2 linked regions of the Lonchura striata genome follow. Each later gene encodes a partner of the first gene's protein in a complex. Links are inferred from orthologs where the notes say so. Each region holds a gene or a part of one and is shown in the gene's direction. Other genes may lie near its edges. The genes, in order: CRNKL1 and CWC27.

What was found.
Region 2: CRNKL1 (region 1) and CWC27 share a complex: the UniProt entries of both Homo sapiens proteins name them as parts of the minor spliceosome. The link is inferred for Lonchura striata from reciprocal best matches to the Homo sapiens genes CRNKL1 and CWC27.

Annotation. Positions count from the first base shown.
Region 1 is NC_134605.1:28,349,056-28,364,306, forward strand, and holds the start of CRNKL1 (crooked neck-like protein 1), read left to right. Parts: upstream 1-7,436; 5' UTR 7,437-7,522; coding exon 7,523-7,570; intron 7,571-7,761; coding exon 7,762-7,914; intron 7,915-8,435; coding exon 8,436-8,527; intron 8,528-8,627; coding exon 8,628-8,786; intron 8,787-9,133; coding exon 9,134-9,300; intron 9,301-9,799; coding exon 9,800-9,978; intron 9,979-10,602; coding exon 10,603-10,773; intron 10,774-11,438; coding exon 11,439-11,630; intron 11,631-12,894; coding exon 12,895-12,954; intron 12,955-14,044; coding exon 14,045-14,125; intron 14,126-15,251. Other genes in the region: CFAP61 (cilia- and flagella-associated protein 61), read right to left, coding at 654-795, 1,802-1,869, 2,281-2,357, 4,389-4,539, 5,180-5,322. UniProt on the Homo sapiens protein: Involved in pre-mRNA splicing process. As a component of the minor spliceosome, involved in the splicing of U12-type introns in pre-mRNAs.
Region 2 is NC_134642.1:28,452,988-28,468,590, reverse strand, and holds the start of CWC27 (spliceosome-associated protein CWC27 homolog), read left to right. Parts: upstream 1-9,468; 5' UTR 9,469-9,598; coding exon 9,599-9,640; intron 9,641-10,371; coding exon 10,372-10,468; intron 10,469-12,019; coding exon 12,020-12,132; intron 12,133-13,344; coding exon 13,345-13,488; intron 13,489-14,272; coding exon 14,273-14,371; intron 14,372-14,531; coding exon 14,532-14,635; intron 14,636-15,583; coding exon 15,584-15,603. Other genes in the region: protein SREK1IP1, read right to left, coding at 1,509-1,698, 3,356-3,434, 4,990-5,130, 6,723-6,770, 9,185-9,197. UniProt on the Homo sapiens protein: As part of the spliceosome, plays a role in pre-mRNA splicing. Probable inactive PPIase with no peptidyl-prolyl cis-trans isomerase activity. As a component of the minor spliceosome, involved in the splicing of U12-type introns in pre-mRNAs.

The DNA of each region.
Region 1 (15,251 bases):
TCTAATAATACCAAAGCTAAAGCAATTTTTACTTTTTATAACGAACTACTAAAATCCCAGACAAGATGGTAGCTCTTATCAGGAATATTGCTATGGCCTAAGTGACATTTCCAATCATGCAAAAGAACATTTGACAATATCCAATGGCCACCAAAAAAAAAAATTAGCTTAAACTGAAAAAAAAAAAAAAAAGACAAACATGATAGTCAGAACCAAGACAAGTGGAAAGACTTTTAATCTTCAGGCATTAACCCACCTACTGATACCATCACTGTATAAAAGTCCATTCACTTAGTTATAGGTGAGAGACAACTCAAAAGAAACACTCAAAAAGCCTAACAATTGTACATCGAGTCAGTATGAGAGAGAATTTTACAATATTGAAATATCCAGAGCTACAGCAAGAGGATGTGAAGTGGCAAAGGTCAGGCCTCAGGCCTTTTTCTTAAAATGCTCAAAAGTCAAGCAAAAGGAGGAGTTCAAGCTGCAGATTTGCTTCAAACTCATGTGGTAAAATTCCATATATGCAATAAACCATCTCTCAGACACAGGCTTCTGTCAGAATGCAGCCCAAATCAGCCCATAAATAAAGAAGGAAAATGCTGCAGTTTTCCCCAGTCAGATGTGCTCAGGGAAGCAAGACGCTGCGTTACCTTGCTTGGCGCACGTACAGCTGTGGGTGACACCGATGCCTCGGGCATGCCAGCAAGGTGAAACCTCTCTCCATGGGTGAGCCTGGAACAGGCATCATCCTTTCAAAGACATTCCCCATGTCCAGCTCTGAATGACTAAAACCTGTCGGGGCAGCACAGAAACTTCATTATGCAAGCTTTAAATTAGCAGCAAAACTGTCTAAGGAAAATGGAGTTTCAAACTTAAACCACAGATAGCAAAATGCTCCAAGTCTTTTAAGTTAGGCAATGAGGCTGAAATGACAGCAGCATAAACATGCAAGAATCATCACCAAAGTCATGTAATTAATCCAGCATTTCAAACCTGAATAAGCTTCAAAGCAATCAGAAATTGGTAGAAAACAATCCCTATAAAAATAATACAGCCAATTCTCTATGCCTCTGGAGAATCTCTGTCAGGACTCATAGTACTGAAGGAAAGCTAATGTGGTTGCCAGGGTGGATTTGAGAGAAGCCCTGTTTTTTGTAGTTGACACACCACTGCAGTCTTTTAGTGTGACTTGGAACCAACATGTCTAGAAGCCAGCATTATCAGAAAAGTCCCAGCCCCCTTTTCAGCTCAATTTACATGCATGCTTGGTTTATTGGTCACAATTCAGGACCAAAATTCCATGTGGTCCTGTTCTCTGATTAACACATGTATTCTCTACCTTTGTACCTCTGTTCTAGAAGAAATAATCCAAATTTCCTTCTATGTCTCCAGCAGCTTCTCTGAGTCTCACCAAAGTGAGACCAGTCTGCACTGGCTTGGCTAAGTAAGAGAAAGTGACCAATTTCAAGTCTCTTGGCTCAATTCAACCAGAAAACTTCACAAAACTTGTAGGTATTGATTTTTGAGATCTTTACTCCTTTCTGATGTCCTGTTTCTGGCAAATTTAAAGATTGCAGGGAATAGACGGACTGCTGAATGGCCACTGGAGTGAGCATAGAACCACAGGTACCTCTTGCACATGGGATCTTCACAAGAAGATACTTTTAGATTATGTTTTTCACATGTCTAGAAACTGTTCTCAGTATTAAAAAAAGGACACCACAACAAGCTCACAGAGCATATTAATCAGGTTTGCAATTGTTCTCACCTCAAGAATAAAAGAGTTTTAAGTTCTTACCTAACCTATCCTCAGGTGGTATAAAGAGAAGTATAAACTCCAGTTCTGGTAGTAAGATGAAAGCTCTCCTGTACAAATAACAAACATATTCAGTCTTTTATTATTACACCCATCAATGACAGACAGCAGCTAGCTTTTTTTAATATATAATTTTTTTTTTTTCCTCCAGTGTCTAGAACCTTCCTTCATAAGTCCACATGGCTCAACAATTAAAACATTTCTGACAAACAATATAATGTGAAATTTATCTGGGTAATTTGACTAGTTTTTCCTACCTTATTTCTTTCAAATTTTCCAATCTTTAAATTTCAAACATCCTCTTTTATAGCAGTTTCACAGTGGTGAAATATTTAAGATATCAGGCCTCTTCTGGCAGATATTTGACAGGGCACCTGGATGAGACTTCTTGACTTGACAAACGTGATTTGACAGCAGGAGAGGGCATGCGCCTCACCACCCAAGGCTACACAGGAACTCACCTAACAATTTCTTGGGAACATCCTGCTGCATAATCTTCCTTTGCCACAAAGAGATGCATGAAGAGTGTGTTCAAAGGCTACAAAACAAGGAATGAAAGCCTACACACCATGCAGCTCATGTTAATTCCATCAGCTCAAGTATTAGTACACACATACATTTCCAATATACATGATTTGCACTCAAGGAGCAGCAAAATATACATAAGTGACTTCAAAGCATGTGTGGGTAAAGTTACGTGATTAAAGTGCTTTATATAATTTTGTGCTTCTGCAACATTTTTTCTTTCTACTCAGTTTACTATTGTTTGACTGCAATACATGCTGTACATTTCATATTGAACAGTATTAATTCTTGACTAACAACATCCAACCACATTAAACACTCAACATGTGTCTAACAAAGACATTCTTTTAAGGTTAAAAGAAAAACCACAAACCGAAAGCTCACCTGCTTCTAATAATCCTAAAGTGGTTTTTCTTTAAAGGTAGTAAGAAAAATTACATATTTTAACATGACATCATTAGACACACAAATACCAGGCAAAAACAGAGCAGACTAACAGACACCTTTATCTTGTGCACCTCCACTAAACATGGAAAACCCCTGTGCTGGAATGGCAAAGGCTATTAAATCATCTGTTCTCTAGCATATTAATTACAAGTCCTGGGTCAGAAAAGGTCTGCTTGAAGATAAAAATAATTTAAATGTAAAACCTGAGATCTTTTGAATAGTATAATATTCAATTAAAACACCACAGCTAGAGGCACCAATAAACTTCAGCAATTTAAGAGCAAGAATGATTTCAATAGAGGCTGCAGTACATGGACCAGCATCAGGACAACAAGCTATTCTAACAAACATCTAAAGACATCCCTAAAAATCAGGCAGTTTGTTTTTTTAGAAGCAAAGGGAAGAAATAAAAAAATATATTACTGTTGAGGTCCGAGAGGACATCAAGTATACCAGACGTGGACTGTAACTGTTTCTGGATAGTGCTGGTAACCAGACAATCCAGTACAGCATCTTCACTTATCCCTTTCTGCACAATTCAACTCCCACTTCAGACCCTGAAATTATTTCTGTACTCTAGGAAAAAGACAGGTCAACTATACTTCACAGAATTCCTACATTCAGATGACCTCAGTTTTGAAAAGCACACCTGCATGGATTTAACCTACAGTTTACCAATGACATCTCATCAAGTTATACGCCAGAAAATGTTCAGCTTTCTGCCAATGCAGAAGCATAAAACACTGACTCTTCTACACCTCCTTTAGCAAATAAATTCCATTCTAGAAAAATAGAATGCTGCCCGTTTAAAGATATTTTTCACTACTGGTTCTGAACAGTAATTCATTTTTCTTTTCTCTGCAGACCCCTACACCAGATCCCACAGAGCCACCACGCAGCCTGAGGGAGATCATAGCACAGCAGAACCCACAGAGAAGCTGCAGCCTGAATGAAGTGGCTGTCCACAAAATGCTGCTCAAGGGACAAAGTCCATTACTAGGAAATCACAGGTCCTTTCTGCACACTCTCTTTGGCTGTACTGGTGGTGTTTCCTTTAAGAGCACACATTTTCAAACACTTTGTCAGTTTACCTTCAAGCCATTACTTAACACTACAGAAGACCATAGGCAACTGATGAACAAAATGCCCAGAGATAACTGCAGCACTGCCAACACCTCTTAATGGCACATGCTGCACACCTTATGAGTGCTTGGGGTTTAACATTTTCTGTATTTTTTCAACAATTCCACAATCTAGTTCCCAGCTGGACTTGGTGATGTGGGAGCATTTGAGTGCTAAACTTGTAAGGGCCTGTTTCTGTAGATCCTACCAGAAAGTCACAAGCTCACCGAAGGAGCCCATGTGAAAGTCACCAGCAGCCAGCAAGACACAGAGCAGTAGTCTCCCCACCAGCACCGAAAAAGTTCTCTGCAGAACTAAGGTTCCCCTTGTCAGCACGAGGGTTTGACAAGGACTCCATCACCTTCTGTATCCTGAATGCCTCAAATCTACCAGAAACAGATCATAGATGCCTATGTGTATTTTCCATACCTGAACCTTAAATGAAAACTCAACTAAAATCACACTATTTACTTACAGTGCATTTATTGTTAGTGTAGTTTTCATGCAGGAATGGTTCCCATTCAGCCTGATCAGTGATATTCCAATTCGGATAGTCCAGAAAGGCAGCATGAGCTATAACCTCATTCTTCTCATTGCAGAGTGTTAAAGCAAGATTTGATAATTCTCTATGAAAATAATTTAATTTTGCACAAGTTAAAGAAACTCCACATAGAAAAGTGACTTACTGCAAATTCAGCCTGCTGAACAGCAAAATTAGCCATGTTCAAGAGGGTTCCCAGGATCAGGCCTGAATTAAACTTCACCATCCACATGCTGACTTGGAATTGTTACTTCAGTTCCACACATTTGTGCTCTAACATCATAAAAATTCAGGAGGATTTTCAAATCCTCATATTAGTAAATTTGAGATGCAAGACTTAAACATTCCCTTCAAAACATTTGTATGTGTCTTCACACATGTCTTTTTCCCCAAACAGCTGTTATGCGTGATTTTTGCTATTAAGGGGGAAAACATAAGTGACCCACCAGTATCTATCACACAGCCTGTCTGCTGACAGCTTTTTTCAACAGCATTTCTTCTGATCTTTTACAAAAAGAAGCTAGTACAGAATTAAACCTTCTCCATCATGGCAGAGACCCAGGTTTGCACAGTCATCATGTGACAGACATGAAAGTAGATTTTCTTTCAATTTTTAGAAGCAGCACAAAAAATCATTATGCCACACCATGTCAAGGGTCAGAATGTTTTCTGCCATTTTAAGTGTAATTTTCTGAAAGGTGACAACCTAAAACACCATTACTTACAAAAGGTAAGTGACATCAATCCTTCCAAAGAGGTCTTCTGTGACAGGTCTGAAGAGGCTGATAATGCCCGAGACATCATGTGACTTTGTCCTTCTGGCAGTGACCACATCTGTATTTCCCCTTGATGAAGTTACTGTGGCCATCCCACAAGCTGCACTGAGAACGAAGGAAAACACTTCTGGCTCCAGCCATCCACTGCCATCCCCTGCCCAACACAGTCACTTCAGGTGGGTTTTCATAAAAACTCTAAATTGGGGCAGTTTGTATGGATTTGGTGCCTGGCTCCTGCATACCACCACACAGACAGGCACTGCCTGTTCGTTGCACACCTGAAATGCAGTAGGCAATTACTCCTATGGTCTGGATCCTACAGAGGAAATTAATTGTTTTAATAGGCTACAGCTGCTTTCCTATTTATTCATTAGCATGCTAACCAGCTCATCACCAAGAACTTCAAACTCAAAGGCCTTCAGTGGGAGGCTCAGCTGTGGGCAGTCAGGGGAAGCAGGCTGGAGACTCAGCTGCAAACAACCAGGTACACAATGTTCCAATTAAACAGCAGTTTCACATGAGTTCACTGTATTTTGTCCAAAACTCCTTCTCGGATTTCTTTTGAGATCAACAGTAAGGCTTAAATTTCTGAAGGAATTCAAAGTTCTGTGGCTATTCAAAGTTCTACTGCTTTCTTACACAGAAAAAAAAAAAAAAAAAAAAGTTGTTTTTTTTTTAATGGCTCCACATTGAGAAAATGTGCCAGGCACAGCTGATATGTTGATCCGTCCAGCAACTTTAGAACACACCGGGGCATCAGATCCTCAAACCACTTGTGACCATTCCCTCGGGTCTAACACCCTTTAGTTCTGTGTCTCTGTGTCTCCGCTCAGTACTGCAGCCTGCTGTGACCCAGTCAACAATCAAGCACGTGAAATAAAGCGACCAAACAATGGCTTCCCGCAATTTCTTAAAATTCATATGCAAAATATAGCAGTACTAACTTAAAAAAAAAAAAAAAATCTAAGCCAACACACCTGGACCAGCAGAGCAATTCCACCACTCTGCCAAACACAACAGCCACTTCCAACAGTGACCCCAAATGCAAATGTGATGCTCAGTTATCAAGCACCTCAATTCCTAACTAAAATGAAAAACCAAAAGAAATTCGGACTTTCACACCTTTTAAATACAGAGTTACATGCACTCCTACATCTTTCACATTCCAGCGTCAACGCAGGTCCTGAAATTAACCTGAAGGAACACATCCTCTGCAAACATGCGTCAATTTTAAAAATGAAAACTAACACGAACTTTAAAGGGCTATTCATCGGCTGAGGTTTAGCGCACTAAGATGACTTCAACTGAGGAAAACTGCTACGTTTTCAGTCAATTTTTAAGTTAACCCCCCCCCCCCCAAAAAAAAAAAAAAATACACGCATCTCCACCGGCTCCCCAAAACGCTCCCACAGCCAGAGAAAGCAGTAAAAATGTACCATTTTCGTAAGGAAATACGCTGCTCCTACAGTAACTTCTGCACTCGTCCCGCGGAGCAGGATCCCAGAGACACCCAGCAGAACAAGAAGAGGAGGGCGTTCCCCTCCCGCACTCAGAGCACTTCCCTCCCGCCTCCTCACACAAACGCTCTCTTGAAGCATAAGACTCCACGCGGTTTCTTTGGTGTTTGTAGCCCACATACCTCGGGAGGGCTGCGAAGAGCTGTGGAAGGCTACTGCGGGAGGCTCTTGAGGGGCACCCCTGGTGACTTGGGGCGGGGCGGAGCCGGACCGAGTCGGACCCGGGGCGGTACGGCGGGGGCTGGACACGGGGGCTGGACACCGGGGCTGGACACCGGGGCTGGACACGGGGGTTGGACACCGGGGTTGGACACCGGGGCTGGACACCGGGGCTGGACACGGGGGTTGGACACCGGGGCTGGACACCGGGGCTGGACACGCCCGAGGCGGCCTCAGGACCCCCGGCCGCGAGCCCCCTCAGGCACGGTGGCCACGCCCACGCACGCGGACAGACCTACACCGCCGAGCCGCCAGGGGGCGCCCCGCCGAGCGCGTGCATCGCCCGGCCAGCAGCGCGCGCACTCACCTGCCCTGTCCCCGGCGCTGCAGAGCCAAGTGGCCACGGAGCGCCCCAAGGACAGGAAAGACAGCGCAGATGGAACAGCTGAGCCCACGGACGAGACAGACCGAGCGGTCCTACGGACGGAACGGACAATCCCACCGCCCTCCCGCCGCCGACCGGGACGCGTCGCTGTTGCCGCGGCAACGACGCTCGGGCGGTGCTGCGTGAGGTCAGGGGTGCCGGGGCGGGGCCGGCGCGCGCAGCGGCGGAAAAATGGCGTCTACGGCAGCGGGGAAGCAGCGCATCCCCAAAGTGGCGAAGGTGGGTGGCGGGGAGGGCGGCGGGGACCCCCCGGGACCCCTCGATACCCATTCGTCTCGGGCTTCGCGTCCCGGCGGGCTCCGACCCCGCCCGCGCCGGGCACCGCGCTTCGCGAGGCGCCGGAGGAAATTGATCGTGCCGGTACTGCGTTAAGAAATGTGAGCCGAGCCCCCCTTGTCCTTACCTTGCAGGTGAAAAACAAGGCACCCGCCGAAGTTCAGATCACAGCGGAGCAGCTTCTGAGAGAGGCAAAGGAGAGGGAACTCGAACTTCTCCCACCGCCTCCGCAGCAGAAGATCACAGATGTTGAAGAGCTAAATGACTATAAACTCCGGAAGAGGAAGGTACAGTTAAAAAGAAAAAAAAACCGGTTTAATCTTGACACTCATATAAAGCACTAAAATTCCACTGTTTTTAACTTAAACAAGATGTAGTCCCTATTCCTTGTGGGCTTTCCAGTTGAACACAAATTCTTTAAAACCTTTTTTCATGCTACTCTTTAGCAGAACCTGCAATTTACAGATGTGTTGCTTGAAACTGTGCCTGTGTTCAGAACACTGAAAGGGTAATTATTTACACAATTAATAGGAGTTTTCTTCATTACCAGCAGTATCTGGCCAGCCACTATAAAAATATGAACAAAGACAGTAAATGACACTACAGTAATGCTGAGTTATAAATCTTCTGTTGAAAGAATTGCTTTGCTCATGCAGATTTACCCATGGTTTTGCTTGGCTTTTTGCTTTGAAAGTACCTAAGCTAAGCAAGCATATTCCTGATGGTTATTATAATACCCCATAAGCCATTTTTGATGTGAATTGTCTGCACAAGGATTTCTGACTTACAGATAAAATTTTCTCCTCAGACTTTTGAAGATAACATAAGAAAGAACAGGACTGTTATCAGTAACTGGATAAAGTACGCACAATGGGAGGAAAGCCTGAAGGAAATACAGAGGTAATGATGATGTGACTGTAGGCATATCTTAAGGGCGTTTTTAGACACACACTAAAGTCTAGGAGGCACATTTTACCTGCCCTGTACTCATGTTTTCCAGAGCCCGTTCCATTTACGAGCGTGCTCTGGATGTGGACTACAGGAACGTCACCCTCTGGCTGAAATATGCCGAGATGGAGATGAAGAACCGCCAGGTCAACCATGCCCGGAACATCTGGGACCGGGCCATCACCACCCTGCCTAGGGTGAACCAGTTCTGGTATGGTGGCCAAGCAGTGAGATCCCCTTCTAGCCCCAAAGACCCCCACAGTATTTGGCTGTTCTGGGGTTATACAGATTATCCTGCTTCTCTTCAGGCTGGTCTGAAAAAAATGGAGGAAAGCTGAAGTTTTGGAAAGGTTTTGTACTTTTTAAGTGGTAAGAGCCTTGGGAGAGAAGGGTGTTTGTGTGCCTGGATACTGCCAGTCACTGCTGTGCTTACAGACATTTCTGGGGTGGGAGGAAATAGGTGAGGGGAGCTCAGGGATACTCTTAGGAAGCACTCCAGAAATCCCTGAATGGATATGTTCCCCATGTGATTGCAGAAACTCAATCTCCTTTCTCCAGGTACAAGTACACATACATGGAGGAGATGCTGGGGAATGTCGCTGGGTCACGCCAGGTGTTTGAACGGTGGATGGAGTGGCAGCCAGAGGAGCAAGCCTGGCATTCCTACATCAACTTTGAGCTCAGATACAAGGAGGTGGACAGAGCACGAGGCATTTATGAGAGATATATCCTTTTCAGAGTCTTGTGACTCCTGCCTGAGTTAAGGTCTCCATTCTTTATTTCCTTCCTAAATATTCCATGTCCAGCAACGTCCCTGTACTCCTTTTCACTGTGGTGTGCTGGGAATGACCCACCACCCTGGGAACCAGCAGGAGGTGTTAAAAGCGTGTTTAGGGAAAGCCTCCAGATTCAGTGGAGTGGCTGCAGGTTGTACCACAACAGTGTCTGTTTAACTGCACTGCTCATGCACCCAGCTCTTTTGTAGCTATCGTTTGTTTCTCCTCAGATATTCCCTGACCCTTATCCTTTTTTAAGTTCACAGTAAGGCACAAAACCTTTGCATGCTTATACCTGTCAGTGTCTTCTTCCTAGCTGCATTTATTGTTCCCCACATGTACCATCCTGGTAGGTGTTTGATGAAGTCCTTGACCCAGTAGTCCCTGGGAAGAACACAGCTGGGGATGTGCCACTCGGCCAGCACTGTTTCTTTAACAATAGCTGTACTTGTCCTCGTTCACCCTGACGTGAAGAACTGGATCAAATACGCGCACTTCGAGGAGAAGCACAGCTACTTTGCCCACGCCAGAAAGGTGTATGAGAGGGCAGTGGAGTTCTTCGGGGAGGAGCACATGGATGAGCACTTGTATGTGGCATTTGCTAAGTTTGAGGAGAACCAGAAAGAAGTAAGTTTTTCTTGATCTGAGTCATGCCAGTGTTTCTCCTTGAATATCAAACTAAAGGCATTTAACATTCACTGCAGTACTTGCAGTTCTCAGCCCCTCATGACTGTAGTCTGAATTAGGGAGACAGTTTTTTGCTCACCTCTAGTTGCCTTTTGGTGCCATCAATAAAATGTGTTCTAAGGGAGATCTGCCAAGCCCAGGACCAACAGCATTGGCTCAAACATGTATCCTCAGACTGGAGGGGTTCTGAGAGGTTATGGGCCTGCATGATAGAAAACTGGATTGGTCTAGATGTTTTTCACAGTTTCTAAGGTTCCCAGGCTGTTATGAAATTGAAGACATTCTGTGAACCCCAAACCACAACCTCTTAAATTGGTTTAAATATTCTAAACCTGTAAATGAATAAGAGATGATGGGGGCTGGCATTTTCAGATTTATTTTTTCCCCCTCAGAGTTTACTCTTCAGGGAGATCTGTGTTAGTCCTCTTTTAAAACAATTGCTTATGTTGGAATGTCTCACCATTCTGTATTCTATTAAATATTGCCAAAAGCTCATTGAAATGCTGTCAGGGAGGACAGAAACTGCTTTGTAAATATTTATGAAATTATATTTAATATTTTTAGTTTGAAAGAGTGAGGGTTATCTACAAGTATGCCTTGGATAGAATTCCAAAGCAGGACGCCCAGAATCTCTTCAAGAATTACACCATCTTTGAGAAGAAGTTTGGAGACAGGAGGGGAATTGAGGACATCATTGTCAGCAAGAGGAGATTTCAGTATGAAGAGGAGGTGAAGGTATGTAGGACAGGTACCCTCCAGGCTCACTGTACAGCCAGCTGGTGTTTAAGGGACACGAGTATTTTGTGATATCAAGGCTGATGAGTTTCAAGTTACCCTTGAAAGTCAGTCCAAAAAAACACCAAGGGAATATTCATTTTAGAGACAGAATTCCATCCCTGGGGAAGAGAATGGTATCTAAATTCACTGCTTTTTTTGTTTCTGCTTTCTAATCTAGATTGTGCAGGTGAGGGTTTTGGATTGAACTCAAGGCTTGGTACCCTTAAGGATAATGCAGTTTAGCTTGTGGTTACTACTTAGGGAATATCCATTATAGGACACCTCACCTGTGCATAAATACCTTTTAGTGAGAAAACACCTGTGCCACACCTGTCTGCTGTTCAGTCCACACTGCACATTTCATCACTCCTCATCCCTTCTGACACTTTGCTTGGACTGCCTTCATTGAGACAATGCTGAGGGCAAAACAAAAACAAAATTTAAAGAAAAGTCACTTTTCCTAAGCTAAAAGCTCTACCGTAACCATCCCCAAGACTGACAGTTTTCATTAATATTCCAGTGATCTGTTTTAAAGGGGAAATTCTGACTAAGTAAAGCATGAGGCTCTGTTAGTTTTAGTGACTGCAGCTTGTTTGCTGTTGCCCCATTCCCGTCTCTGAAAGGCAAACCCCCACAACTACGATGCATGGTTTGACTACCTGCGGCTGGTGGAGAGCGACACGGACACCGAGACTGTGCGGGAGGTGTATGAGAGAGCCATTGCCAACGTGCCCCCCATCCAGGAGAAACGCCACTGGAAGAGATACATCTACCTCTGGATTAACTATGCACTCTATGAGGAGCTGGAGGCAAAGGCAAGTAGTGACAATTCAGGGTTTCCCTTTTGTATAGTAAATAGCTGCTGATATTTTAATAGGAAAACCAAGAACTAAATATTCTCTGTGTTACTAACATGCTACAGGATTTATTATTTAAATACAGAGACTTTTTCCTCTTCCAGTTTTCCCTTCTGTGCATAAGGGAGGGAAAAAGCCAAACTCATTTTATCCCAATTCATTCAGAAACACACTGATAACAAAATCAGGAGTGGGTATTTCTGGTGGCCCTGGCTGAACTGCCCATGGCAGACTGTTACCTGAACTTGTGAAATAGTTTTATATTTTAAAAAACTGTTTGTGAAGCAGCCAGGTTGTAGTCATTGTAACCTTTGAGGCTGTGCAAGTATTTATTGGAACATTAGAGCTGCTCTGAGTATGGAACACCTGTTCAGTGTCTGTTGTCATAAATGAAAATTTGTCCAGCTAAATTAATATGAAAAAATAAAATATTTATTTTGCAATCAAATTCTCTCTAGCCAGCCACAAGGAAAGAACAGAACCGAGCCCGGGGTCGGCCCTGGGTGTACAACAAGGAGTCAGCTTCAGCAGAGGTTTTCCCCCATGCCCACACACCTCCATCCTGTTACAAGCAGTTTTTATAGGGAAAATTCCACCTGAGGCCAAGATTTCAGCAATCAGTCTTTTCTTCTATTCGGAGTCGATATGTTAATAAGATTCTCTTTTTTTTGGTAATGAGGGAGAACAATTCAGTGTCTGGAGTTTGTTGAATCCCTTGATGAAATTTACAGGAAGGCTGCATTCACGTGTATCTGTCTGAGGATTTCCATGATATCCATCTCGGGTTGTTTATGCGATGATCAGCACCTGGGGTTTCCCTATCTCCGCAGACATCTTACTTGTAAATTAGGGTGTGGGGGAAATCCTAATACAAACGTGTATACTCTAACAAATATTCAATATCACATATATCATATTAGAAATGGCGCGAATTATATCTACTACACATAACACTGTTAAAGGAAAAGACTTACTTTTCCTCCCACAACCAGGACACTTCTTTTTTGTTGGCTTCCTAGCACTGAACCTTGCTTTGAAAAGGTGAGTCTTGTTGATGCAGAAGCTACCACCTTTGAACTGTGCACACTAAGTAGATAAGCATTGCAGATTCTAACCAGCTTAACTTAGATGCTGTTCTGCAGTTTTGCAGTCACTGCAAGATTCAAATTCAGCATAATCTCAGCAGTCAACAGAGTGTTTTACATGCTGTCTGTTTTTACAGGATGCAGAGCGAACCAGACAGGTGTACCAGGCATGCCTTGAGCTCCTGCCCCACAAGAAGGTATGGCTCCTCCATCAGTTTGGTTTGAGTTTTGGGTTAAAATGCCCTAGATAAGATCCTTTCTCTTCCCCTGCTACATTCAGGGGTGTAAGCAGCTCCAAATGGCTGCTAGTAGGTTCATCGAGACTCTGCTTAAAACTTCAAGTATCTCTTCCAGTTTCTCAAAACTTCCGTCTTCCAAAATGGTTTTCCAGCAAGAGTGCAAGATGTCTGTAATTGGCATCACAGAGGGAAACTGCAGGGCAAGCACTGGTGTCAGGATTCCCTCATACATATGAGACACAAGGGTTTTTTCAGTATTTTCAAATTACTAAGTAGTTGCTAAGCAAACCCTAAGAAGATGAAATTGCACATAGTCAGAAAACAGGGAAGACCACTTAGATTTTGCTTGCTTGCATTCCTCCTCAGGCAGCATCGTTTGTAGCTGCTCACAGCCTAGTCTCCTGCAGTCTCTGTAGGGCACTTGAGGCTCTTTTTAACTGAGTTAACACTTTTTATAGCATCCAGTGGCCTCCATGGTCACCACCACTGAGGCAGCTATGTTTGACAAAACAGCTTTCAGGTCTCTCTTCCCCATTACAATCAGTCTTCAAGGCTGATTGATTAGGGTTTTATGGTTTTTTTTTGCTTGTGAACTTTAACTAAAATATCCATGTGGCCAAACCCTTACAACTGCATTGCCTTGGAACGTCAGAAAATCCTTGTTCATGTTCTTCTCCTAGTTTGTCATTTATTGTGTCATGAGCGTGTCAGATTAATCTCTAGTTATTAAGAGCTGATTAGGTATTGATTGATTCAGCACTGGCTGATGTCATGCCAGTTGATGATTGGTTAAAAAACTATTTTCTGTGGTTTAAAAGACTTCTGTCCTGGCCATTTTTGCTTTTGCCCCAATATACTGTCCTTTTGTAGAGGCTGTTTTAGATAATGAACCCTAAACCTTTCAGCAGGAAAACACTGAGATCAAATGAGATTAACTGCAGTAGCAGTCATATCTTGTATAGACAGAATGCTTATTTTTTTAAGCAACGTGTACAGTATTATATACTGACTTTCCAGCCTAAATAGCACTTTGTTCTTTTTCTTCCAGTTTACATTTGCTAAAATGTGGCTGCTGTATGCACAGTTTGAAATTCGCCAGAAAAACCTCCCCCTTGCCAGAAGGGCTTTGGTAAGCTTTGTCAGAGCCATAATTGACTTTGCTAATAGTAACACAGGAATGTTATTAAAAGATCTTAAATTGTCTTTTTTAAATTGCTGATTTAATCCACTTAAAATACAGCATCCAAGAAGTCTGCAGGGGCCAGCATTTACTGTCATGTATGATTTAAAAAGAAATGTAGCTTGTTCCAGTGAATTAGCCCCTGGCAGAAACAACAAAGCGCTCCTATGAATGCAGGGCACCCACATCAGCTCAGTGCTCTTACAAGTTCTTAGCTGTTGCTGATGGCTTACAGTGATACTTGTTCTAACAATAGTGTTTTAAAAAGCCTTGTAGATGAATGGGAAGTTTGCCTGTAGGAAATTAGCACCTGCCAAATTTTGTGCCAGTCCCAGCTGCTGACAGAAGCAATCACAGGGACTTCGGGCAGGCTCAGGAGTAGGCTGAGCAGGTTCACTCTGAATGTCAGCACAAGGGGACAGCAGGGTGTGATGGGGAGCAAGAAATAGCATCTTTTTGAAATGAAAAACTTGCTTTCCTTTCAGTTCAGATATTCTTAGTAAGCTCAGGGATAGCATCAGGCATTTTGAGAGAAAGCCAGTGTTGGTGGCAGCTGAGGTGGCTTGACTTTCATGAGTAAACTGATGGGGTTTCCACCCTAACAGTGATGGAAGGCACATGGAAAAGAACTGAGCATACTCTGAAATACCAGTGGCATCTGCAAAGGGCCATAACAGTGACCAAATTGGTAATCCCAAGTAGTGGTTTCCTCTATTTTTAATAAATTCCAAGGTACTAAACATGTAGGAACATTGTGCAGGAGAACTGTGGTAAGGGAATTCCATCTCAAATTACTTCTCATTGGCTTGAGGGAGCAGAAGCCACATTGCTTAGTAAACAATACTTGTCTATAGAAGTGACTCCAAGGCCAAATTCACTACAGCCTGTCTCAGGTATGCCCATTCTAACAGTTGTTGTAAGTCTCCCTGATTAAGAATCCAGAATTGCCTCTCACAGCTTGGCTCAGGACGGACAGTTTTCTTCAGAGATTGAGGTGTACAGAAACAAAGTACTTTGTAAAGACATTATTCTCCACTTGTCCATTGCTGCCAGCCAGCAGGCAAGGGTGGGCAGT
Region 2 (15,603 bases), on another chromosome or scaffold:
TATCATCTGATATGTATTCAAATTAGAGTAATACCTGTTATACAACATTATTTGTGTTGAAAGAAACTTTCAATTATTCTAAGTACATTGAAGAAATTATGTACTCTAAACTGTGAAAAGAGACTGAAAGGCTTTCCTTGGAGTCTCACAAATTGCAGAGAATGCTGAAGCTGTAATTTTTGTACCGTGAATATGTATTTCCTTTGGATATTTGTGAAACAAGAGCTTCATTCAGTTTCAATTCAGCTATTCCAGGCCTTGGTGCATTTTACAGCTCAGTTTGTTTCCCAGCTTAGCAGCTCAATTGGCAATGTGCACATTTAGCTTCCACTACTGGGATAGATGACTGAAGGAAACACCAAGTATCAGCTTTTGTTTCCTGGTGCGTATTGACAGAGACTGATTTGCATTTCAGAGTTTATTGTAAGGCAGGTTGCTGACTCTTCAGTAGTCTAGGAACTCGGCATGCCCACCCCACATACTACTCATGCTTTATTCTTGTCTGTCTTTCTGGAAATACACATTTCATTCTGTATCTGAGATAAGCTGACAGGGAATGGCACTCTTTTGTATTGGCATCACCTTTATATTGCAAGAGCTTTGGAGGCTGTAGACTAGCAGGGTACAATCACTACTTGGGGTCTATACAACAGCAGGAGTTATGCCAGGGTTAGCCTTCAAAAGTCTGATTCATGCAAAGTAAAGCTAATAACAATTGACATAAATGAAGAAATAGCTGAAGTTTAATACTAGAAGTCTTGTTTTGATAACCAAACCTTTACATCTATATCAAAGATGAAATGGCCATAACTGTAAAAGAACAAAATCCAAGGAAAAAGGACTTTAAAAATTGATAGCTTTTGTTTGCTTCTATTTATTTTCAGTTTGCTCATAATTATCCTGCCAAAAGAATGTGTAATTATGTTTCAGAGTCTATGACTAGATCAATTTTAGAAGATAATTTTGAAGGCTCAATCTTTTTTAGCTTCTCATTGCTCATTTCCCCTTTCAGGCCCTGAACACTGATTCATATTTGCTCTTACTGATTAATGTATGTAAGCAGAAAATGTTGTGTAAAACATACATTTATTTAAAAGGTAATAGAAAATCTCACTTGAATTTCCAAATCTGATGTAACCAAAATCACACCACAACACACCATTCTGACATTATGCATATTTAAGTCCGTATCTATCTACACAAAGGCTTGCAAACTGGAATTTACATTCTTTACATCCTACTGTAAAGGATTTCAAACACAATCACAACTGAACTAAAAATATGAGTGAAGAAGTTGCATGGTTTAGTATTAATAAACCTGAAATAGAAAAGCAGATTTTTTTCATAAAATGGTCCATCTAATAATTTGATGCACTGATGTATGCCAATAGATTTCTCAAAAAAAATATATATCTCATTTTAAAACAGCATTGCAAAGCATAAATAAACTTGCTATGAAAGGAAAATTGTCTTCTCTGCAAAAGCGAGAGGAAAAATAGACCACCATGTCAGTCACTGCTTGAACTGTCTGAACTGCTAGAAGATGAACTTTTTTCCTTTCGTCTCTTCTTCTTCTCCTTTTTATGATGCTTTCCTTTCTTAGATTTATGCTTTTTACCCTTTTCCTTTTCTTTTTTGTGTGATTTTTGTTTTTTTGACTTTGGCTCATCCTCTTCTGCTGAACTTGATGAGGAAGATCTAGGAAAAAAATGCAGATCAATATGTAATTAAAGAAGGAAAATTACACAGTAAAAATTTAAGGTGTCAGTATTTTTGTAATGTCATAAATTGAATTTGCTGTAGAATTTGTACAGTAGCATCCACTGGTAAGCTTGTATCTTGGTCTGCATGTGTAAATTAAATTATGACTTTCCTAATGTGACTTTAATGCCAGAAAAGCACTATGTTTCTAATACAGATTAAAAAATAATGGAATAGGCAAGTTGTCTGGGTTTTCAGTCTTTGAGAAAAGAAAGACCCAGAGTACAGACCATCAAAAAATAAAGTATGACAACAAGATAGAGCTTCTGTTTTTAAAATCCCCTATGAGCATTAACAATGCTAATTAATGCCTTCAGATATATGTCCCTGATGCAAAAATGTAAGAGAAACTGTTATGAAAAATTTTTACGTTCTTGCAGCTCATACTATTGTGAGGAAATAAAATGCAAGACTCTCAAAAGTCACATCACGCATCTAAGAAGATGAGGTCAGGAGTTGAACTAAGCTAAAGAATTCCCAGAACATGTAAACTCAAAGGAATGTTTGAGTATGTATAATCTTCATGAATATGCATTTGACCAATGCAATTAAAACGTAAGAAAAGTTGTTATAGTTAACCACATGCATCTGGCTATGGCTATGCACCCAGCACTGTTACTTTTTTTTTTATTCCTTATTAAACTTTTAAAAATTTTATAAGAGTGGGCCTCATTACTCACAAAACTGACAACCAGATTGACTCTTTTCTATTCTATTTCTTCACAAGTGTAAGGGATGTCTTCAACAGTGGAAATTTGAACTACACAGTGTAAATAGGGAAAAGGAAAAATGCAAATACAACAGGTATTAAATCCTGTTTCTTTGTTTTGGAGGGAAATCTTCATATACATTTTGCAGTGTTACCTTACAGAGCAGTTTCTGGCATATTCTCTTATCAATTGTCTTAATGATGAAACATTAGTCTCATCTATATTGTCACTTGAAAAAACCCCAAAAAAGTAAGTCAGTCCACAGGCCAGAATCTAGATTCATAATACATTGGATATTATGACATTTTAGGCTTCTATGTTAACAGGTACATAAAAACTCAACACCTGTTCAATTTTACAGAAGTTTCCCTTTTGATAACTGCGAGTCACTCAGAGCCTGCAGGTGTGCTTACATATGTGTGTGCCTGCAGGTATGTTTACATATGCATGTGTGCACACAAAGAACCCTACAGTCTCTGAATTTCAGAGAGCCTTCTCCAGACTGGCTAGGTTGGGGACCAGCCCCACAATCCTCCTGGCTTGTTCTTTTCCCATCACAGCTTGCTTAGAGTTGGACAGTCAGGGGCAGTTCTGCTTTTTCTGATCTGCAGACCTGCAGCTTGCTAGAGCTTTCAAAACTCCTATGATCCCAACTCCACAGCAGAAAGCCTGTGACTCCAGCATTAATCTAAGAACATTTACCTTACCATTATTTTACCAATGCTTTATCATTAGTCAGTTCTCACTGGAAAAAAGAAAACTTTTCAAATGGAAGAAGTACTTGCAAAGAAAGTTGCATCAATAGAAGCAATATTTTCTGACAAAACACAAGTCTCAAAAATATTTCTAAAGCTGTGTTTTCAATAGAAGTGTGTGAAGGTTACCTTTTCCTTGGTCTTTTTAATTTTGTTTTCTCTTTGCTTTTCCTTTTTTGTTTCTTTTTTTCTTCCTCTTCATTTAAATCTATAGGTAGAAAGTTAAAGTTTACAGAACACTTGTCTGAATTAAGATCAGCATTAAAAAAGTAAGTTCAATAGCGATGTCAAGTTACTATAGAATTCTTGTTAAAAAGCTTTCTTTTCCTTCCCTCAAATTCTGGTTAGTATAGTAACTTCAGAAATATATTGCAGTAGCAGCAGGACTTTTATAGACAACTTATATTGACATTGATCTAAGCACTAAAAATGAAGGAAGTCCTGTAAAATGTAGCAAAAAGACCTTTTCCTATAAATTTACACAAGATTCAGGTTTTCATATCTCTTCTTTATCACCAAAAGGGTGATAAAGTTCTGGATTGGTCTGCCTGGGGAGGTGGTGGAGTCACCATCCCTGGATGTGTTTAAGAAAAGACTAGATGTGGCACTCAGTGCCATGGCTTAGTTGAGCTGTTAGGGCATGGGTTGAACTCGATGATCTTTAAGGTCTCTTCCAACCTAGTGATTCTGTGATTCTTCTGTATGTTAACAGTTTTAACATTTAACATACATGTCCAAAGTCTGAAAACTAGAACAAATAAAGAAAATAATATTCTGTTAGGCTTCCCTGAGTTACCTCCACACATCCCTATTTCATGTTTCACAAACAGCAATGCTGTGAGACATAGCTGTTTTTCCTGCAGATACCCATCTTCAATAACCTTAGGAAAAAACCCAACCTTTACATTCAAAAATACATAACAAGTGGTAAATATTTTTTCCAAAGAGACTTATTGCAAGGAAGTACCATTGCAGTACCAATTCAACACTCTTGATAAAGAGCCCATCCACTTCTTTTGACGTGTACAACTATAGAGTTCTATCTATCCCTTTTCCTTTCTAAATAGCATTTTCCGTAGGAACTAAATGTCAGCACATATGAAAACAAAAGAACAAAATATAATGAAAAACAGAAGGGTGGAGGAGAATAATGTTCATTAATTTACAACACATTGAGGTGAAACAAACTCCCCTTCTTACTTAGGTGCACAACATCTTTGGAGTCCAAATTCAAATGAACTCAAGTATCTGATAAACAATTAATCTATTCTCACTTTGACAAGGAGCTGATACTCAGACCTTCCAAATATAGAACAGTACTTCTCAAAATACAAATGACTGAATTCCAGTCTACTAGCTGTTTCAGTCAAAATCCTACTTAGGAACTGGAGAGAAATTCAAGTGTCATATTTCTCAGTAGTTAGAAGATGTTTATACTATATGTCATAATCAGAAGATTAACTCAGAACACGCATGTCATTTTATTCTAAGCTTCTTCTTAGTAAAATATCAATCAATCTCTTGTATTTAGGAGCTCCTTTTGAGATATTCCAAACACATACATTAGTAACTTCCTATACAAGGAATTAATCATAATACTAAAAGAGTGTGGCTGTGTCAAACCTCTGAAGTCTAAACACAAAGTAAAAGACCTATTTTTAAATCACAGGCCAAAAGAACTAAAAGGAGTTATCAGAAAGGATAAAATGAGAGTCTCTGCATGTCAGAAGACTATTATCCAAAACCCACAAAAAACACCTTACTCTTTTTTTCACGCATGGCTTGTAATCTCTGTAGTTCCTCTTCCTCGCTGTCTTCGCTGCTAGTGCTGCTAACATCCAAAACAATATCTCTTTGGGGATCTACTCGGAGGAAGTTTCGACATTCAAATGTCAGATGACCAGCTGAACAAAATAAATATACAAAAATAAAAATTACAATTTACCAAAAGAACATCAAAAACAAAAGAAAATTGATTTTTGTATTATTCAGTTTTGAGAAGTGAAAGGAAAAAAGGGAGTCTGTGATCTGTGAAAGGGGCAGGAGAATACTTACTTTGAAAAACTCTCCAAGAATTTGATAGAAGAGCATTGCACAACCTATTTAAGAGTGCTTTATGGCCTCTCTCCTATTCTGCTAATTTGAAGATTTTTTTCAACTTTAGTTTCTATTTTTTAATGAATGGTCTTAGGTACTTTCTTAAGAAATTATAGCATGAAATATTTAAAAAACTACAGAAAGTATTGCATTGCTTAACTCCGTCTAGTGAAATGGTAGAATCCTATTTACTCATGAGACATACTCTTTAACAGCCAGCACTTAATACTGACTAAATTACTGCCTGACCAGTATTTTTTGGTTTTTAAGTTACATCTTGATAATCATGACCAGCTAGAAACCTTGTGCTGAATACTCATTGAAATTTTTAAAAAGTAAAATTTAAAAAAATGGAAGATATGGTTTGGGAGACACAGTAATTCAAGTAGTAATTGAAATAAGCTCATGTTCTTAGTAAGGATGATAACAAACTACCTACACCTTGAAGACAGATATTTTTAGGAACATATAAACATGGATCACATGATATGACAAGTTTCCTTCTCTTTCAGAAAATTTCTGATACTTGCTGCATGTAGAAAGAAAGCACTAAATCTATATTAATATACACTGTTCTTTGAAGGAACAGATACACAAAGCAAGTCATTGACAAAATTTGTCGCAAAAGCCTGAAATGAAAGAATGAAGAAATTTTTTTTCCTGTCACCCTGTAACACTCATATAAAGAATCCGAACAGCTTAACTCACTGAGCTAAAAGTTCAAAACAATTCAGTACAAAACAGCATCCATTCCTCCAATGTTCTAAAAATAAGAATCAGTGATTAAAAATTTAAAATCTTCACTAAGACCTGTCTCCATTAATCATGAAAGTAGCCACAGACATTTACAACTAGTGTATAATCCAAAGCATGAGCTAAATGCCAATTGCAGAACTTGTAAGCAATAACGGTAGCTGTTTCTTGAAATACACAATGCACAAAATAATATTTTCTTAGCGTAAATGATTATACAGATTTTAAACTATTGTTTTTTCTAGTGAATTAGACTGGACTTAACTTCAACTGAAATGCCTGCTTCTTTGCAGTCAGATTCAGAAGAAGCACAAGTGCTTATATCAGTATATATCAAAGAAGGCACTTTCAATTAAGTTTGAAAAAAGTTTCTCAAGTAATTGCATTGAAATGTAGTATGTACAAATATAATAGTATAATTTTTTTGCTAAGAAACTCAAAGAGTAATGATAAGTGACATAAACCAGAAAATGAACATGAAATAAACAGAAGAAATATAACATAGTACTTTAAACTGACAAATGTCTGGGCAACAAAGGAGAATACGTCTTTCCTTTTTTTCCCCCCTCTCCTCAAAAAGCAGTTCCAATCAACACCATAAACTGAAGAAAACACTGTAACTTCATATTGCTTATTACAGACTTACGGTAGCCACACTTCTTGCATCCAGCTCTGATATTATCCTTATTTCCACCTGAAAGAGAAAATTTCACCAATTAGGTGTTGCTGAAGAGAGCCTTCAAGTCTCTTTCAAATGTTTCTTGACAATGTCAATACATAGACAGAAGTGATTACCCCTCAAGAGTATTAAGTACACCAAGATCTCTTAAAAAAAACTGCACTTCTAAGCCTACTTTTCTGTGCAGTAATCTATCAGAACACTCTTGACTAATTTAAACTGCTAGAGATCATTTAGTCTTATCTATTTTAATGCCAAATCCTAATTTGATTTATTGTGACCTTTCCACTTGTTTAGTTACAGTATGAACACAGTAAGAGATATCTAACATTCCAGGGATCTGTAGCACATAATATAAATTCCAGCACTGCAAGGATGTTGACAGACATTCACTGGAAACTCTGAAGTGATTCATATTTTAATTACAAGAACAGACCTTACAAAGCAATTAAAAAGACCAAACCAAATCAAAAAATAAATCCTTGAAAACAAAGAAGGAAATTAAAAAGTCAACAAATTGTTAAATTATTCTGAATCCAGACAACATGACACCAAACACAAAAAATGCAAGAAATCAGAGTCAGCAACAGAAAAATCTGGATTCTAAGCAGGAAGAAGATCTGAATAATGCAAATTTTAGGTATTGAAAGTGTGTGATTCTCACACGTGAGACAACAGTTAAGTGAAACAGACACCGCAGGACACAATTCAGGAGACGCACCAGGGATTTGCCCCACCCCCCAACAGATCAATCTTAATTTTAATCATTAAAGCTATTGGTAATGAAAGTGACAACTGAATTCCCAGAATCAAACCATTCTGTCTTCCAACTGAATACAGTAGAAAAACCCCAGCAACTTAAGCAGTCATATACTATCAGAAATTGAGCACATTGGTCACATTAATTTAAACTATGACTTACTGAAACAAGCACTGTTTTTAGAAAATTCTACTCAAAATAACAGAAACCTTCAAACCCCAAGTTGAAAAATATACCTTGGAAACTTGGACAACTCAAGTGTATGCCTTAAAGAGTGTTGGAAAGCCAAGCAACAAAGATCCATAATTCCACTATAACAGGTGATTTTCAGCAGATCTCAAACCCTCAGTATTACATATCCCCTTCAAGGTCAGCAGTGTTCAGGTACCTGTTTCGTGCCTACCTTTATAAGGACACCCATGAGGGATACAAGGAGGTAGGGAACATAGAAGAAAGAGTCACAAAATAAAAAGCAAAAGCATACCCGCAACCTGCAATGTCACATCAGAAAAACACTCAAACCAGCATTTGCTTGTTCACTACTCCTTGAGACTAGAAAACAAGATCACTCAAGCCACCTACTTTGTCCCAATTTTCTGAAAAAATTCTGAGTCAACCTCAACCCCACTGCACAGCTGACCTACATAAAGAAGGATTTGGTATTCCAGCCAAGCGAGGTCAGTAAAGTCATGTGCACACTAGAGACATCTCCCGTGTGAGGCAGGCTTTCCTTTCAAGAGATACCCAGCAGATGACAAGAATGTAAATATTGTCGTCAAATATTCCTACCAGATTCCTGCGACTGAAATTTTGTTACTGTTTTAGGCTTTAAATAATAATGTTAGAAGCAGGAGCTTAGACTAGATGAAATTTTAGCTGACTAAAAGCAAACTAATTGCAAGAAGCTTCCTTTCTCACTCCTTCCCATATCTTAATTCTCAAGACAATTAACAAGTGGTACAGAACTAAGGACTTCATTCACTGGAGAGTAAGACTGAAAAGAAAACCTGTGGAAACCTTTGAATGCAAACACGTCTTCCTCAAAAACCCCTTCTAGAATGGGAACAAGCTTATGAAGGCCTTCGTTTAATCAGAGAAGCAGATCACCAAGGCTCAGGCCTGTTCGGCTGTTCTCGAACCAAACACTGCCCTGTTTTCAGGGCAAGAGCACACTACGGAGCAATGGCCAACACAGACCTGAACACCTTGCACATCGCGCAGGTGTTTCTGCCTGCCCTGACCCACAAGAACCATCTACTGGGACACAAGCATTAGGGAAAAGCCAAGTCTGCCAGCCACCGCGCTCTCGCTCCAGCCTCAGAGGAGGCGATGGCAGCGCGGCGCCGGGATCCCGAGCCTCGGGACGGGCCCCGCAGCGCCCCCGGCTGCCCCTGCCAGCGCGGGCACGGCCCCACCTCATCCATCTCCAGCTCATCTCCACCTCCACCTCATCCATCTCCAGCTCATCTCCACCTCCACCTCATCCATCTCCACCTCCATCTTCCTGCCGCTGCCCCGCCAGCCCGGACCGGAGCAGCGCCCGCCGCCTCCCACACGCTTCCCAGCGCCGCGCACAGCAGCGCGCCCTCCCCGCCGGCTGTCCCGGCTGTCCCGGCCCCGCCGCTCGTTCCCGTGCCGGGCTGCGGGGCCGGGGCCGGCCGCCCCTCACCCGGCAGAGCCATCGCGCCCTTCTCGCCGCGCTGCACCGGCCCGCAAGCGCAGCGACGCCTGTCCCCACCGGAAGGCTTTGCCCGGCGCACTCCCGGATCGTACCACTCCCAGGGAAGGCAGGGGACCTCAGCGCCCCTAGGGCGGGAGCAACGCTGGGAGACCCGAGAGGTGTGGAGAAGCCTGCCGACATTTCCCCAGACACGTTGTTTCTCAGTGAATCTCGGAAAGCCTCTGGCCGAGGACTCGTTCCTTCATCCTTTCTTCGGCTTGTGCAATTTCGTCCCCCCTCCCCTGGGCTGCATAGGGGCGCCCAGCATGGCGGGCGGCTCGGGGCGGTAGGAAGTGCTGGCGGCGGCGAAGCGGGTCCGGCTGCTGGGGAGGGCTCGCCGGCCGGGCCGCTCCTTTCCCCACCATGAGCAACATCTACATCCAGGAGCCGCCTACCAACGGGAAGGTGAGGCTGCCTGGGTGAAATCCTGGAGAAGCTGTATGTTGTAGGGTTATGGGGGGACAGGCGAGAGGAACACGAGCTGGGGTGGTGGTGATGATAGTGATGGTGGTGGTGGTGGTGGTGATTGGGGGTGGAGAGGTCGTTGTTTCTGTGGTTGATTGGTTTGGTTAAAGTTACTTCTTTGAGGCTGCCAGAGTCAAAGCATGTGGCGTGATGTTTGGAGACATAACACAGAGCAGTCCTCGGAGTTTTTAATTTAATTTTTAATTTAATTTTAATTTAATTTTTTAATTTAATCTGCTTCGGATTATAGTTTACCTCCTTAATTTTGTTATGATCTCTCACTGGATATTATGTTCCTTGTAAGGGCAATATCTGGATATTTATGGCTTTTTTTCCCCCCATGCTGCTCAATATAGAAATGATAAAGGGTATCTAAAGTTTCTGTGAAGCATCAGCCATCTTATGTTATGTGTTATGCTATGTTATGTTATGTTATATTATGTTATGTTATTACAACTATATTATACATCTTTATTATGCATATTGATTCAGAGCTGTATCTCAAGTTCTGGAAATGCTAGTTAGAACTAACAGTAGCTACCTGACATACTTAAATATATATCACTCTTACAAATATAACAAATTCAGATTTAATTTTTTTGGGCAGTTTTACCTTTGATCAGTGACTAAGTTACAGTAAACTGAGTCTTCATTTATCTGTGTGTTTATAGGTTTTGCTGAGAACTACTGCAGGAGAGATAGATATAGAATTATGGTCAAAAGAAGCACCAAAAGCATGCAGAAATTTCATCCAGCTATGTATGGAAGGTAATGATTGAATGGGGTGGGGAGCTGTTGAAATTAATTACTACGTGATCTTTGTGCCCTTTCTGTAAAATAGAGGTCATAATTATATTTTGACTTTAGTATGTCAATAGGTTTATTTGTGTTCAGAAATTATTAGTTAACACTCTGGCAATGTTTTTCAAGGTTACCAATGAAGCTAGTGGAGAAAAAAAATAAAAATTTTGGATGATTTTCTCAAATTAAGCTGATGACCTAGAATTGAAACATTGTCTTTCTGAGTCTTGAGAGGCTTTCTTTCAGCAAATGTCTACAAATTATAACAACATCAGTGTGTGCATAAAATGGCAGTGATACAATATTGGCCATTCTCCAAAACTGTCATTTCTGCATCACAATTTACACTATCATTTCTTTTTTCTTTTTTCCCTGAGCACTCCTTATGTTTCAGTTACTGTATTTTTTGATTGATAAAAGCTCTGTAAAACTTTCCAGCAAACTAGTGGGTTCTTGAATGAGAAGCTCCCTTTTGAGAAAACTGTAACAAAAATCTATGAAAGGCTTGATGCCTTTATATGTTTTCTAACTGGTATTATTCTCCTATTTAAGCATTTGTAAAATTGTGAAGAGTTCTTTTTGCCTTCATATGTTAAACAAAAATAGCAGTCTAAGCTTTGTGCCTCCAGCATAGATCCAGTCTGTTTTGTCCAGTCTCTTTTCCTGAATGTTGAGACTTTTTGCAATGGTAAAGGAATTTCTAAGCCCATGATAAAGGTTCATATGTGCTCAGTGGGTTTAATTTAAGTCTGATTTTTTTTAATTACTGTAAAGCATCTTGTGCTTTATAATACATTTAAGTATTTCTCATTAATATCCTAGCATATAACCATCCATGACTGTGTCTAGTTATGCTGCAACATTTGCACACCCTGCCTTATCTTGCAACATGCTACAGAATTATTTATTATTATTATTATATCAACCAGGGGTTTGATTCAGGTAAAGTTTTGTTTTCAATCCTTTTGTTTTCTTATGATCGTATAACCTCTATCAGATAGATAAAAGAAGATATCTTAGAGAGCAAAATGTACCACATATTTTATTCTGCAAAAATTACCAGTTTCAATACAGTGCAGGTGATTAAAGATGTTCTATGCTAGTGAGTGAAAGTGCAAATCATCTGTATATGGGTATTGCTAATGGCTAATGTTGTATGTGAGATCTCATCCAGGATACAGCACCATATTTCTAGTTCTCCTTTAAAATTGGTGCATTTTGATAGTGTCATTCCACTAATAAAATCTTAAAAGTTGAAAAGAATGTAATTCATCAAGGTCATCTTGTCAGTGATGGGCAGGATTTTTTGCAAAAGAAGCATGTGATACCACAGGTTGTGATTTCGTAAGTCTGTGGAGAATAGAACGGAAACAAATAGAAGCCAACAGTGGAATCTAGTTGCAGTATTTGCTTTCTGGAACTTCAGTCTCTGGATATCACTGCATGATCTGTATGAAAGTTTGGGTTTGAGACCACTTACATGTATTTAAAATATATATATTTCTTTTTCTTTTTTAGAGTATTACAATAACACAATATTTCACAGAGTAGTGCCTGGCTTTATTGTGCAAGGGGGTGACCCCACTGGTACTGGATCAGGAGGAGAGTCAGTCTATGGAGCTCCTTTCAAGGTGTGTATCTGTTACTTACACATTAATTTGTTGGGTATTCTCTATCCTTTGTTATTCCTACCAAGTTCTGAAAAATCAAATGTTACATGAAACACATACTTGAGCAGTAGTTGCCTTCATGTGCTACTTCAGTGTGTTTGAATATCCCCTTCTAAATTGAGAGTTCTTAGATCTAGCTATGCTGGTATAATGATAAACCTGGGGGCTCAGATCCTGAGCAAAGCTACACACAGGCTGAGCAGCTGTGTTCTGTTCTGTCTGACTGTTTTATTTCAGGTGGGGCAGGCACCTTTAATTTGTGACTGAAGCTGCAAAGCCTGTTTCTAGGCCTTCCAACTTCTTGCTGACTTTTGCATTTCGCACAAGCCTGAAGTTTGTGGGAGGGAATGGTTCCTGAGCAGAGAACAAAACAAAAATTACCAATATTGTAGTAGCATTGCTGCTTCAAAGTAGTGGTATCTCAGTATTGCAGTGTTTAGAATTGTGATATTGCAGTGGTATTCAACATGTTCGCCTTGCTTTGAAAGGAGTCTTATTTTGTCTTCCTAATTCTCGACAATGTTCTTCCTATGGATTTTTGCATTACTCTACTATTACAAACTGTTATTGTGCTTTTAGTAACTTTACATGAATTAGGATTTAAATTCAGTTTTCCCATAAATACAGTGATTGTCAAGAATAGTATTTTTGCGAGAAGTGTATGAAATGCAGTTACTTTTTAAAATTTTCTTAATATTGGAGGATAACAAATGCAAAAAAAAATAATGAATAACAATTGATTTTTAGGCAATAACTGAAAAAAGATAAAATTAACAAGACAGAACTTAAAAGTTTTTTGATTAGTAATGTGTCTTTATGTTATTGATAATTTAGTTTCTAATTTTTTGTTTGGTTTTTGTTAATTGTTGGTTTATGGTTTCTTTTGAAGATTGTTCATTTGTTTCCATCATGAGAGGCACTAGGGATTAGAAATACTGACAAAAAGTAATTTTTACTGCTCATAGTAGGAACGTCTAAGTATAATTCTAGCATTGAGCTTCAAAATACTTGGGATTTATTACTGTCTGAATTTAAAAGAAAATTAGCAGCATTTTTTGTGTGTGCATGTTGATGTAAGTAGTGTCACTCCTATCTCCTATCATGCTGCAGCTAAAGGAGTGAAAAGATAGCTTAATACTGAACTCATTCTCTTTTCTATCCTGCTTTTACCAGGATGAGTTCCACTCACGATTGCGATTTAATCGAAGAGGACTTGTTGCTATGGCAAATGCTGGGCCCCATGATAACGGGAGTCAATTTTTCTTTACATTGGGTCGTGCAGATGAACTTAACAACAAGCACACAATCTTTGGAAAGGTCTGTTACATTAATTGGAATCCCAGTTTAAGTCTGACAGAAGCTACTACAAGTTTCTCTGAAGGCTGGTTTAGTATTGTTTGCTGCTATGTGCATTTGAAATTTATTTCAGTGCTTTCTATGCTTTCTCCATTCTCTTCGTTTCTTATATTTGGCATATATTTCTTATATGTTTCTGTGGGTTGTTCCTGTTATTATCTATCTTGCTTTTGTTATTCTTCTAAATTGTATTTTCATGTTGTGCTGCCTGTAAATAATCTTATTTGTATTATTATGGCTCTGTAATTAATCAGTTCATCTAATACTAATGACATGTTAGAAAATTCTATTTAGAATTAATTAGATTCTAATTACCCAAGAAGGGTCAGGAAGATGAAATACATGAGATTAATTTACCACTCTCATTATTTACTTAAAAGAAAACAAAGCAAACATTTTTTTATTTCAGTGGTTTTTGTTTTCCTGTTTCGTAGCTCACAGTAAGACTTCAACATCTTTATCTGCATACATTCTCAAAACTACCTGTATTCCTTCAACTTTTGCCATTAAATTTTAAAACCCAAACTTTTGTTTGAGTTTTAAAATTTACTAGTACTGCATTGTGTACATTTACAAGTACATTACATTGTACTTGCTGTCTTTTAGAAGTCTTACATGCTTACAGTATTTCCTATAGCACCTGTACTTTCAAAATTTTTTACATAATAATTGTCTTGTATTTTGAAGAATAAATAACACAAATTACAGTCTTGCACTTTCAAGCGTTTCTTTGTAAATTTGCCAGGTTACAGGGGATACGATATATAATATGTTGCGTCTGGCTGAAGTAGAGGTTGACAAGGAAGAGAGACCTCTCAGTCCACACAAAATAAGGAGTAGTGAGGTGAGTATGTTCTGTTTGAAATGTGACATTTAAAATTTTTTTTTGTGCATAGTCTTCAGAAAACTTGGCTTGTCCTTTTGCATATTGTTTTAAAATATCAAACCACTTAATTACAAAATATTTGCTAAAGACATGTTTAAAATACTGTTTTTTTAAACAGGTTTTGTTTAATCCTTTCGATGACATTGTCCCACGACCAAACAGAAAACTGAAAAAAGACAAACCAGAAGAAGAAACTAAAAAGTCTAAAGTAAAAGGCACAAAGTAAATATATGCAAGAGAAATGGTGGTTCATTTTCTTTCACCTTTAATTTGTACCTTGGCAAGTTTTTGCTTCCATTTATGCGTTTGAAGTCCTTCCTTGTTTCTGGGAGGTGGGGTCATGCAAATCTAGTTTCTCTCACTGAAATGTTACTGTGCATCTGCTGAGCTGTAACTGTTTCATGCACAGTGTAGTTTTTTGAAATAATAGCAGGTAGTTTCTTTCCTATGTCCTGCTATGTGCAGTCATCTGAGATGACACTGCAGTTAAAACCTCCTGGTGGGAATAACTGGGTCACAGCTCAGTTGTTTGGGATTTTTTAAACTTATTTCCTCATATATCATTTCTCCCCCATTGTAGAACTTAGCAAGAAGCAGGCATTTTGACATGGGAAATTTTAGTTTCTGTGAATGAAAATTCATAAACATGTGATGAAAAGTAATAGGAATGTTAAAGTGGGCATGCTGTCAGTTCTGCTGCATAAAAATAGAACATGTTGCAGCTGACTGGTTCCAACAAAGTGAACAATTAACTCTTGAAAAATAAATTACAGCTCATTTTTTTTAATTGCATTCTGTGAATGTGTACACATTTGATACATTTCTGAGCTTTCATATCTTGAAAATTTGTGTCTTGAATGCTGCTCTGTTGAGAAAAAACTGCAACAGAACTGTCAACATTCAAGAATCTGGGAAAGTGAGTCAAGACAGGATTTCTTAAACTGTCTTAACTGATGTTGTATTTCAGGAGTATAATACAACATGCTGTTCTGAATATTTATGATTTATTGCAAAGCAAAATGCAGTAGTTGGTTGGAATTGGTCCATTTAACAGGATAAAAAGTTCTTTTTTAAAAAGTCATGTATAATATGAATGTAATATATTTAAAGTTAATGGAATGTTACTAAGACAGTATTTAAAATTTTACTATTTTTTTTTTTTTCTTAAAGAAACTTTAACCTGCTTTCCT